Linked DNA regions of Ovis aries. The protein of the gene in region 2 interacts with the protein of the main gene of each other region in a biochemical or structural test. Links are inferred from orthologs where the notes say so. Each region holds a gene or a part of one and is shown on either strand. Other genes may lie near its edges.

What was found.
Region 1: the proteins of TNFRSF8 (region 2) and TNFSF8 form a complex in vitro, tested with the Homo sapiens proteins (2 studies listed by BioGRID and IntAct). The link is inferred for Ovis aries from reciprocal best matches to the Homo sapiens genes TNFRSF8 and TNFSF8.

Annotation. Positions count from the first base shown.
Region 1 is NC_056055.1:8,880,506-8,884,094, forward strand, and holds part of TNFSF8 (tumor necrosis factor ligand superfamily member 8), read left to right. Parts: intron 1-903; coding exon 904-975; intron 976-2,431; coding exon 2,432-2,826; 3' UTR 2,827-3,589.
Region 2 is NC_056065.1:40,856,139-40,859,957, forward strand, and holds part of TNFRSF8 (tumor necrosis factor receptor superfamily member 8), read right to left. Parts: intron 1,375-3,819; coding exon 1,281-1,374; intron 913-1,280; coding exon 755-912; intron 1-754. UniProt on the Homo sapiens protein: Receptor for TNFSF8/CD30L. May play a role in the regulation of cellular growth and transformation of activated lymphoblasts. Regulates gene expression through activation of NF-kappa-B.

The DNA.
Region 1 (3,589 bases), on a different chromosome or scaffold from region 2:
AATAAGCTGAATTCATGAGTCGTTGCAGGAAATGTATGGTTTGGTTCTGTGCATACAAAATAATGACTATACTAAGAAATGAAGCTGCCATCACCAGTGAATGCATTTAAAATATTCTGATTTCTTAAATTCCACAATGACATAAACCTTGTCTTTTCTCCCAGCCAAGGAAGCTCCATATAGCAGGCTCCCTGCTTAGGTCTCTATGATCTTATATCCTTTTAAAATTGAATGCTAGGATGTGTTTACCTCCTGTCTGGCAAAATGGCCTTGAGGAGGAAGCCTGGTCTCTGAAATCAGATAGACATGGGAGTGGATATCAGGGTTTCCTCCAACTTGCAGTGACCTTGTATTGCTGATCATGTCTGGACATCAGGGTGAGCCTTGCAGAGCTATTCTGAGCATTCAGTCAGCTGGAATACACAGACATGCACCCTTAAAGGAAGGATGGCGATAATTCCTAGCAGCCTCAGTGTGCTGTCCACACTGCCTGGCTGAGTGACATAGGACAGCGCACTGAATTTGCCTAGTGCCCATGCTCCTTTCCATCTCTCAAAGGGGCTTAGCCAGCCCTCTCTCACAGAGCTGTTGCAGAGATCCAGTGAGGTGGAGTACATGAAGCGACAAGAATGGCACCAGGTACATACAGGAACTCAGGCCCTGTTGGTTTCCTTCCTCCAACTTCCACAATCTTTTGTAAAAGTCCATGTGGAAGCAATCAAGTTTAAAGAAAAAAAACTCCTAAGGTACTTGATGGCAAAATGAGAAATAAACAGGTTTTCCTTTTATCCCCCAAATGGAAACAGAATAGTAACTGTCTCCATCAAAGGGTCATGGGAAAAGATCTGGTGTCTCCAGTTACCAGAGCAGAGACAGGCATTTAACATGTGGTCTTACTTTTAGGGAATTGCTCAGAGGACATCTCATGTATCCTGAAAAGAGCTCCATTCAAGAAATCATGGGCCTACCTCCAAGGTCAGTAACCAACACCAGGAACCCCAACCATATGAGGGTCACTCCTATGGCCAGAGGTCACAAGCAGAGGCTCACGGGCAAATGTGACCTGCATGTGTATTTTGTTTAACCTGTGTGATAATTTTTATAATTTGAATTTAAATGGCTTGGGGGAGAGGGGAGAGCATTACTCTCAAAAGCGGCAAGATTCCTGCTTCCTAAGCCTCATCCACTCCTTGAAGTTTGCCTCCCTGGCCTGTGGGGGAATCGGTGCTCCACCCCCACCCCTCTTCATTCACCTACTGGCTGCAGGCCAAGGGTACTGTCCTTTCCCTCGTACGTGGGAAGCAGGCTCTTAATCTCTGCCTCTATCAAGTCATTCACAAGAGAGTCACAAAACTTCCTGGTGTCCAGACTGATAGCTTGATGACCATGTTGGCACAGGCCCCATTTGCGTATTGCAGCATGCTTCAGGTAAGAGGTCCCTTAGAGACGAAATAATAAGAGGCATTTATGCTAGGAAAGATGAGGTACAGAGGAGATGGCCAAGATTCTCTGCAATAGCCATCCTGCTCATTTTCAAAATTCAATTTTGCAGTTAGATTAGTTCTCATTCTTCAGTTGAATTGCAATGAGGTTTAAAGGGAAGCAATTAAAATGAACACACCAGCTTCCCAATTCTGAAAGACACCTGGACCCATCAGGGCTGATTTTAACTTGTCAGTGAAAAGACTCAGACTTGGCTTCTGACACCAACATGTCTGTTTAGAGGGCCTGCTAATTCTCTGCTCCTCTATAAATCCCAGCTGGGAGGAATCCCTTAATGTGAACTTATTCTATACAATGATGTCTGGCTGCCCTTTTAAAGAGAGGAAGACATTTAAAACTTCAGAAAATGAATAGTTAAGGGGCACATCTGAATGTGAAAGAACAGACTGAGGTTCTCCTAGACTTCTTGATGCCTGAATTGCTTACTAACTGAACCAAACTGAATGCTTTTTCTCTGATATTTTGTGCAGTGCTTACCCAATAGCAGTCCCCTGTTGATCAAATGTTCATTGATTGATTGAATATATGTCCATGATAGCCCAAAACTTATAAGGAATACAGTCCAGGAACTTATAGTCTGAAAAGGGAACAGTAGAACTTATAATAATAATAACAGGATGATAAAATGATTAAGTGGAAAACAGTTACCTCTGCAGGGGGTAAAGGTCTAGGACTGTGTGTTTTCTGACCCTCCAGCTTTATGCTTTACAAAAGCAGAGGGATGGTTTTGTACCTGTACCTTGAACACTCAGCAGTGCCTAGCAGTGACATAATATCTGGAAGATATTCCAGATGGCTGAACCAGCGGAAAATATTACAGAAAACACGGGGCTTGAATGGGGAACCTTGAATAAAGATTTCAAATTTTCCAATCTGCATCCGAAATTTGCCTAATGACTCTGAGGTCCTTTTGTCTTTCTCCTTCCAGTGTCAAAGCATATAAACAAAACCAAGTTGTCTTGGAACAAAGATGGCATCATCCATGGAGTCAGATATCAGGATGAGAACCTGGTGATCCAGTTCCCAGGTTGGTACTTCATCATCTGCCAACTGCAGTTTCTTGTGAAATGCCCAGAGCATTCCGTCGACCTGAAGCTGGAGCTCCTCATCAACAAAGACGTTAAAAAGCAGACCCTGGTGACAGTGTGTGAGTCTGGAGCACAAGCCAAAAACATATACCAGAACCTCTCCCAGTTCTTGTTGGAACACCTCCAGGTCAACACCACCATATCAGTCAAGGTGGATAAATTCCAGTATGTGGATACAAACACCTTTCCCCTTGAGAATGTGTTGTCCATCTTCTTATACAGTAGTTCAGACTGAACCACCCCTCCTGGCCTTTGGGAAGAAAGCAACTCCCTACCACACAGCACTTATCCTTCCAGACACTTGGGGGAAAAAAAGAAAACTTTAGGCCAAGACTGAAAAACACAAAGGGAATTAAATAGTACACTTCCATCCCCTGGGAAGATCCAACTCAGGGTTAAAAAGAGACTTCTGAGTGAAGTATCTTCCAGATAGAAGGCGGGGACTCAATGTGGCCTGGCGGACAGAGCCACACACGGGAACCAGAAGGGATGGATTTAGGCCCAGCCCAATCACTAACTCACTGTGTGACCTGGAGCTAGTCCTCTCCCTTCCCTGGAACTTGGATTTCATGTCAGAAAAGCCAAGCCTCTCTCATCACATACCTGAGAACTAAGGTTCCAGGCGCTGTTCCCGAAGCCCCCAGCCAGAGGAAAGGCCCCCACATTGGCATAAAACTGATGGTACTTACTGGCTGCCGTGTCACCTCAGCAGAGTCAGGATTTGGGGACGAGGTTCAGGGCACCTTGCTTGGCAAATGGAGTGAACAGTAGGATCTAAAGTGTGCGAAACTGACCATCCTGAATCTAATACCTTGTGGGTATTTGGAAAACCACCCGGCCAGGCTTGACTCTGCCGGAACTGAGACTGACAATAAGGCAACAGACAGCTTTTGTTTCCCGTCAGGAAAGTGCCGCGAGTTCGGCAAGCACTCAGCGCGCAGCCGTCAAGGTGATCAGCCGTTTGGTAAGAGCGGCTGCTGTCTCCCACATGAACTCTT
Region 2 (3,819 bases):
ACACTTTAAACAAAGGCAAAACAGTAATGACCTTAGGAAGTAAATGTAGGATGTCGTTGAGACCTCAGTGGAGGGAAGGCCTTGCAGAGCAGAACATGAGAAGCACTAGTCAGAAAGGAAAAGATGGACCAGTTTGACTACACTGAGATTAAAAACGCCTCTTCATCAAAAGACACCATGAAGAGGATGAGAAGGCAAGCCACGGGGTGGGAGAAGATGTTTTAAACTCAACTATAAGACAAAGGGCTCAGACCCAGAATTATAAGAAGTCCTAGAGATCAATTCAAAAAAACAAAGAGAAACAAAAACATATTCATCAAAGACTTGTTTTTCATTATTCACTACAGGCAAAAAGGAGAAACAATCCAAATATCCAAAAACTGTGTGTTAAACAAACTGTAATATTCTTATACATTCATGTACAATGGAAGACTATCAGGTAATAAACAGGAGTAAATGGGGACCCTAATCTGTTGCCATGGGAACTAGAGGCGGGCATCATATTGATACCTGCAGAGATGGGCCTGCTCCACTGCCCCAGCATGCCTCGGTGTTTGGTACCCAAACCAGGAAACAAGTGAGTCCTTCCATTCTCTACTCTAGCCCTCCAAGGTCTCAGTCCCAGAAGGCCTTGAGAGCCTCTTCGCCCCATACTGGTTCAGTGACTGTTTGCCCTGACCACCCCACACACAGCACCCCACCCACTGGACACCATTGCCCTGGAGACTGCCCCTGGCTCCTCTAGAGAGCTTACCTGGATCTGGATTGAGCTTCACCACGAAGGAGCTGGAGTTGGGAGTCATTTTAGAAGCATCTTCTGGGGTGAGGGGGATGTCCCCTCCAAGAAGCATGGTCCTGGCACCAGGGCTTGCTGGGGAGGTCAGGGTGGGCTTGGCCTGGGGGATGGCGCCACTGGGAAAGAAGCCAGAGATGGGACTGGCAATTCTTCTGATGGTGCAGGGGGAATCTGTGCTCAGGGGCAGCCGTTTCTATAGAGAAGGGGCCCCCAGACTCTGCCCACAGCCTCTGGCAGGCCCTCTGGCAGATCCTGGGAGCAAGAGCTGTGTTTTCTTGTCCTTCTGGGTCTCCTGTGTGCTCCGGGAAGGCTGGGCACACAGTAGGGCCTCAATGACCTTTCTGCTCAGCAGAGAGGCCCCCTGGAGCCCTGACACCCTGGACTGACCCCCATCCACATCCCCAGCCCACAATGCCCTGGGTCTCCTATCAGGTGGGACAGCCCCACACAGGGGTCAGCTGGATAGTGTGAGGCTGAGAGTCACCTGGTGGGGCCCTTGCAGTCCTGTGGGCTGGCGCTGCAGTTGTGGCTGGCCCTTGGGGAAGCTGGTTCACAGACGGTGTCCCTCTGTGCTGTGCCTGCAGGGAGGACAGCGATGCCTTCAGCTTTGGTGCTGAGGAGCCAGAGACTCCAGGAGCAGACCTCTTGCCACCACAACCCAGGAAAACACAGCGGCCATCTGATCTTTGTGCCTGCCCAGCATCCGTTCACCTTCGGGGTAAAGTAGCCCAGTTTTCCCGGGAGAATTACACCTTCCACATTCAGTATCTGTGGTAAGGAGCTGGAACAGACTGACCACCCCACTCCCACTTCCAGGAATAGCCATGGGACGGGCTGCACCAATCAATCCATCCCATTCCTGTGGCCATGATGGACTGGCTCAGGAGTGGGCACATGACCCAAACCATGTCTATGAGAAGCAACTTCAAGGTTTTGTTTTTGTTGTTGAGAATATAGGAAGGAGAAACAGATTTTCCACTGGAGTTGAGTAGGAAGCAAGTCTGGAGCTGCTGGTAGATATTTTACAGGAAAAGCAACACACAGTGGGGTAGAGATGAGAGACGGAGAAAAGACAGAGCTCCTGGATCCAGCCACACCTGAAGTTCCACAAAGAAAATTTTCAATTACGTGAACCAAATAATTTGTGACCTCCAAACCAAAGAGTTCTGAAGAATACTGGGTGGAAGCAAAGTGGAGAAGAAACCATAGTGCTTTCAATCAAGTGGACCTGAGTTTGAACCTTTTGGTGGAAGTGGCTATGAGCGAGTCTGACTCATCTCATCTACCTGCACTGTGGTGGGGTGACAAGACTTGAGCATAAGGTTCAAACACTGGATTAGATATTCCCTGCTCTGTGATCTTAAGCAATTTACCTGCCATCTCTGAACCTCAGTTTCCTCACTTGTAAAATGGGGCTAATACAGCCTTATGGAGTCTGGAAAATTTCAGAGGAGAAAGTCAGTGCAAGGTCTTAGGGTAAGACTTAGCTATAAGCTTCACCTAAGGCAGAAAGTACTTTCCATTCTATAGCTGGAGAGACTGAGGCCCTGAGAGTTGCTCGGTGGGAACTCTCACAGAGGAATCGAGCCAGGGTTTGGCAGCCAAAGGATGGAGTGCTTTACAAGCAGTGCTAGCCAATAAAATATGTGGATCACAAGTCACTTTGTTAAATTTTCCAGTAGCCACATTTTGGATAGTAAAGAACAAACAAGTGAAATTAAGCAATACATTTAACCCAATATATCTAAAATATGAACTTTCCCGATGGCTCGGCAGATAAAAAATCTGCCTGCTAATACAGGAGATGCAGGTTTGATCCCTGCATCAGGAAGATCCCCTCGAGGAGGAAATGGGAACCTGTTCCAGTATTCTTGCTTGAAAAATCCCACGGACAGAGGAGCCTGGAGGGCTGCAGTCCAAAGGGTCACAGAGAGTCAGACACAAATTATGTTAGTAGATAATCAACATAAACCAGTTAATCCTAAAGGAAATCAACCCTGAATATTCACTGGAAGGACTGATGCTGAAGCTGAAGCTCTAATACTTTGGCCACCTGATGTGAAGAGCCAACTCATTGGAAAAGACCTTGATGCTGGGAAAGACTGAGGGCGGGAGAAGAGGGCAGATGATATGGTTGGATGGCATCATCGACACAATGGACATGTGTTTGAGCAGACTCTGGGAGATAGTGAAGGACAGGGAAGCCTGGCGTGCTGCAGTCTATGGGGTCGCAAAGATTCCGACTAACTGAGACTGAACAACAAATTCTACATAAGAAATAACAAAATGCATACTTTCTGTGTACTAAGTATTTGAAATCCAGCGCATATTCTATACTGACAGCCCATCTCAAGTGACTGGCCACATTTTAAGTGCTCAATGACCACAGATGGCCAGTGATACAGCTTTAGGCAGCGGTCTGGGGGGCAGGAAAGAGAGGCCTCTGGCGCCACCGTGTGGCAGATGCAGGAATGCCGTCGAGAGAGCCAGAGCTGGTCCACAGGTAGCAGCAATAGAACTCACAGCTGCTTTTCTTAGAGAAGAGCTTCTAAGCAAGAAAAGCCCCCATGTAAGGCCTTCCAGTTACACTTGCTCATTTACAGAAGGTGAGACCGAGGCCAAGAAACGGCTGGGAACACACCCCACAGATGCAAAGCTGTACAAAATCCCAGGTATCTGATACCCAGTTCAGAACCCTTTCCCAGGTAGCACTAGTTGTCATTGCAGAAGACACAGGAGATGCAGGTTCAGTCCCTGGGTTGGGAAGATCCCCTGGAGAAGGGAACAGCTCCCCACTCCAGTATTCTTGTCTGAAGAATCCCACGGACAGAGGAGCCTGGGAGGCTACAGTCCATAGGGTCGCACAGAGTCGGACAGGACGGAAGTGACTTAGCATGCATATATGCACCTCGCCTGCCTGCAGCTGGCAGGCTTCTGAGGATCCGTCTACTGAGGGTTCTGCGTGAGCAGGGCGAATCCAACCAGATTTGAACTCTACCCGCCCCCAGCTCTGATCTCCCGGT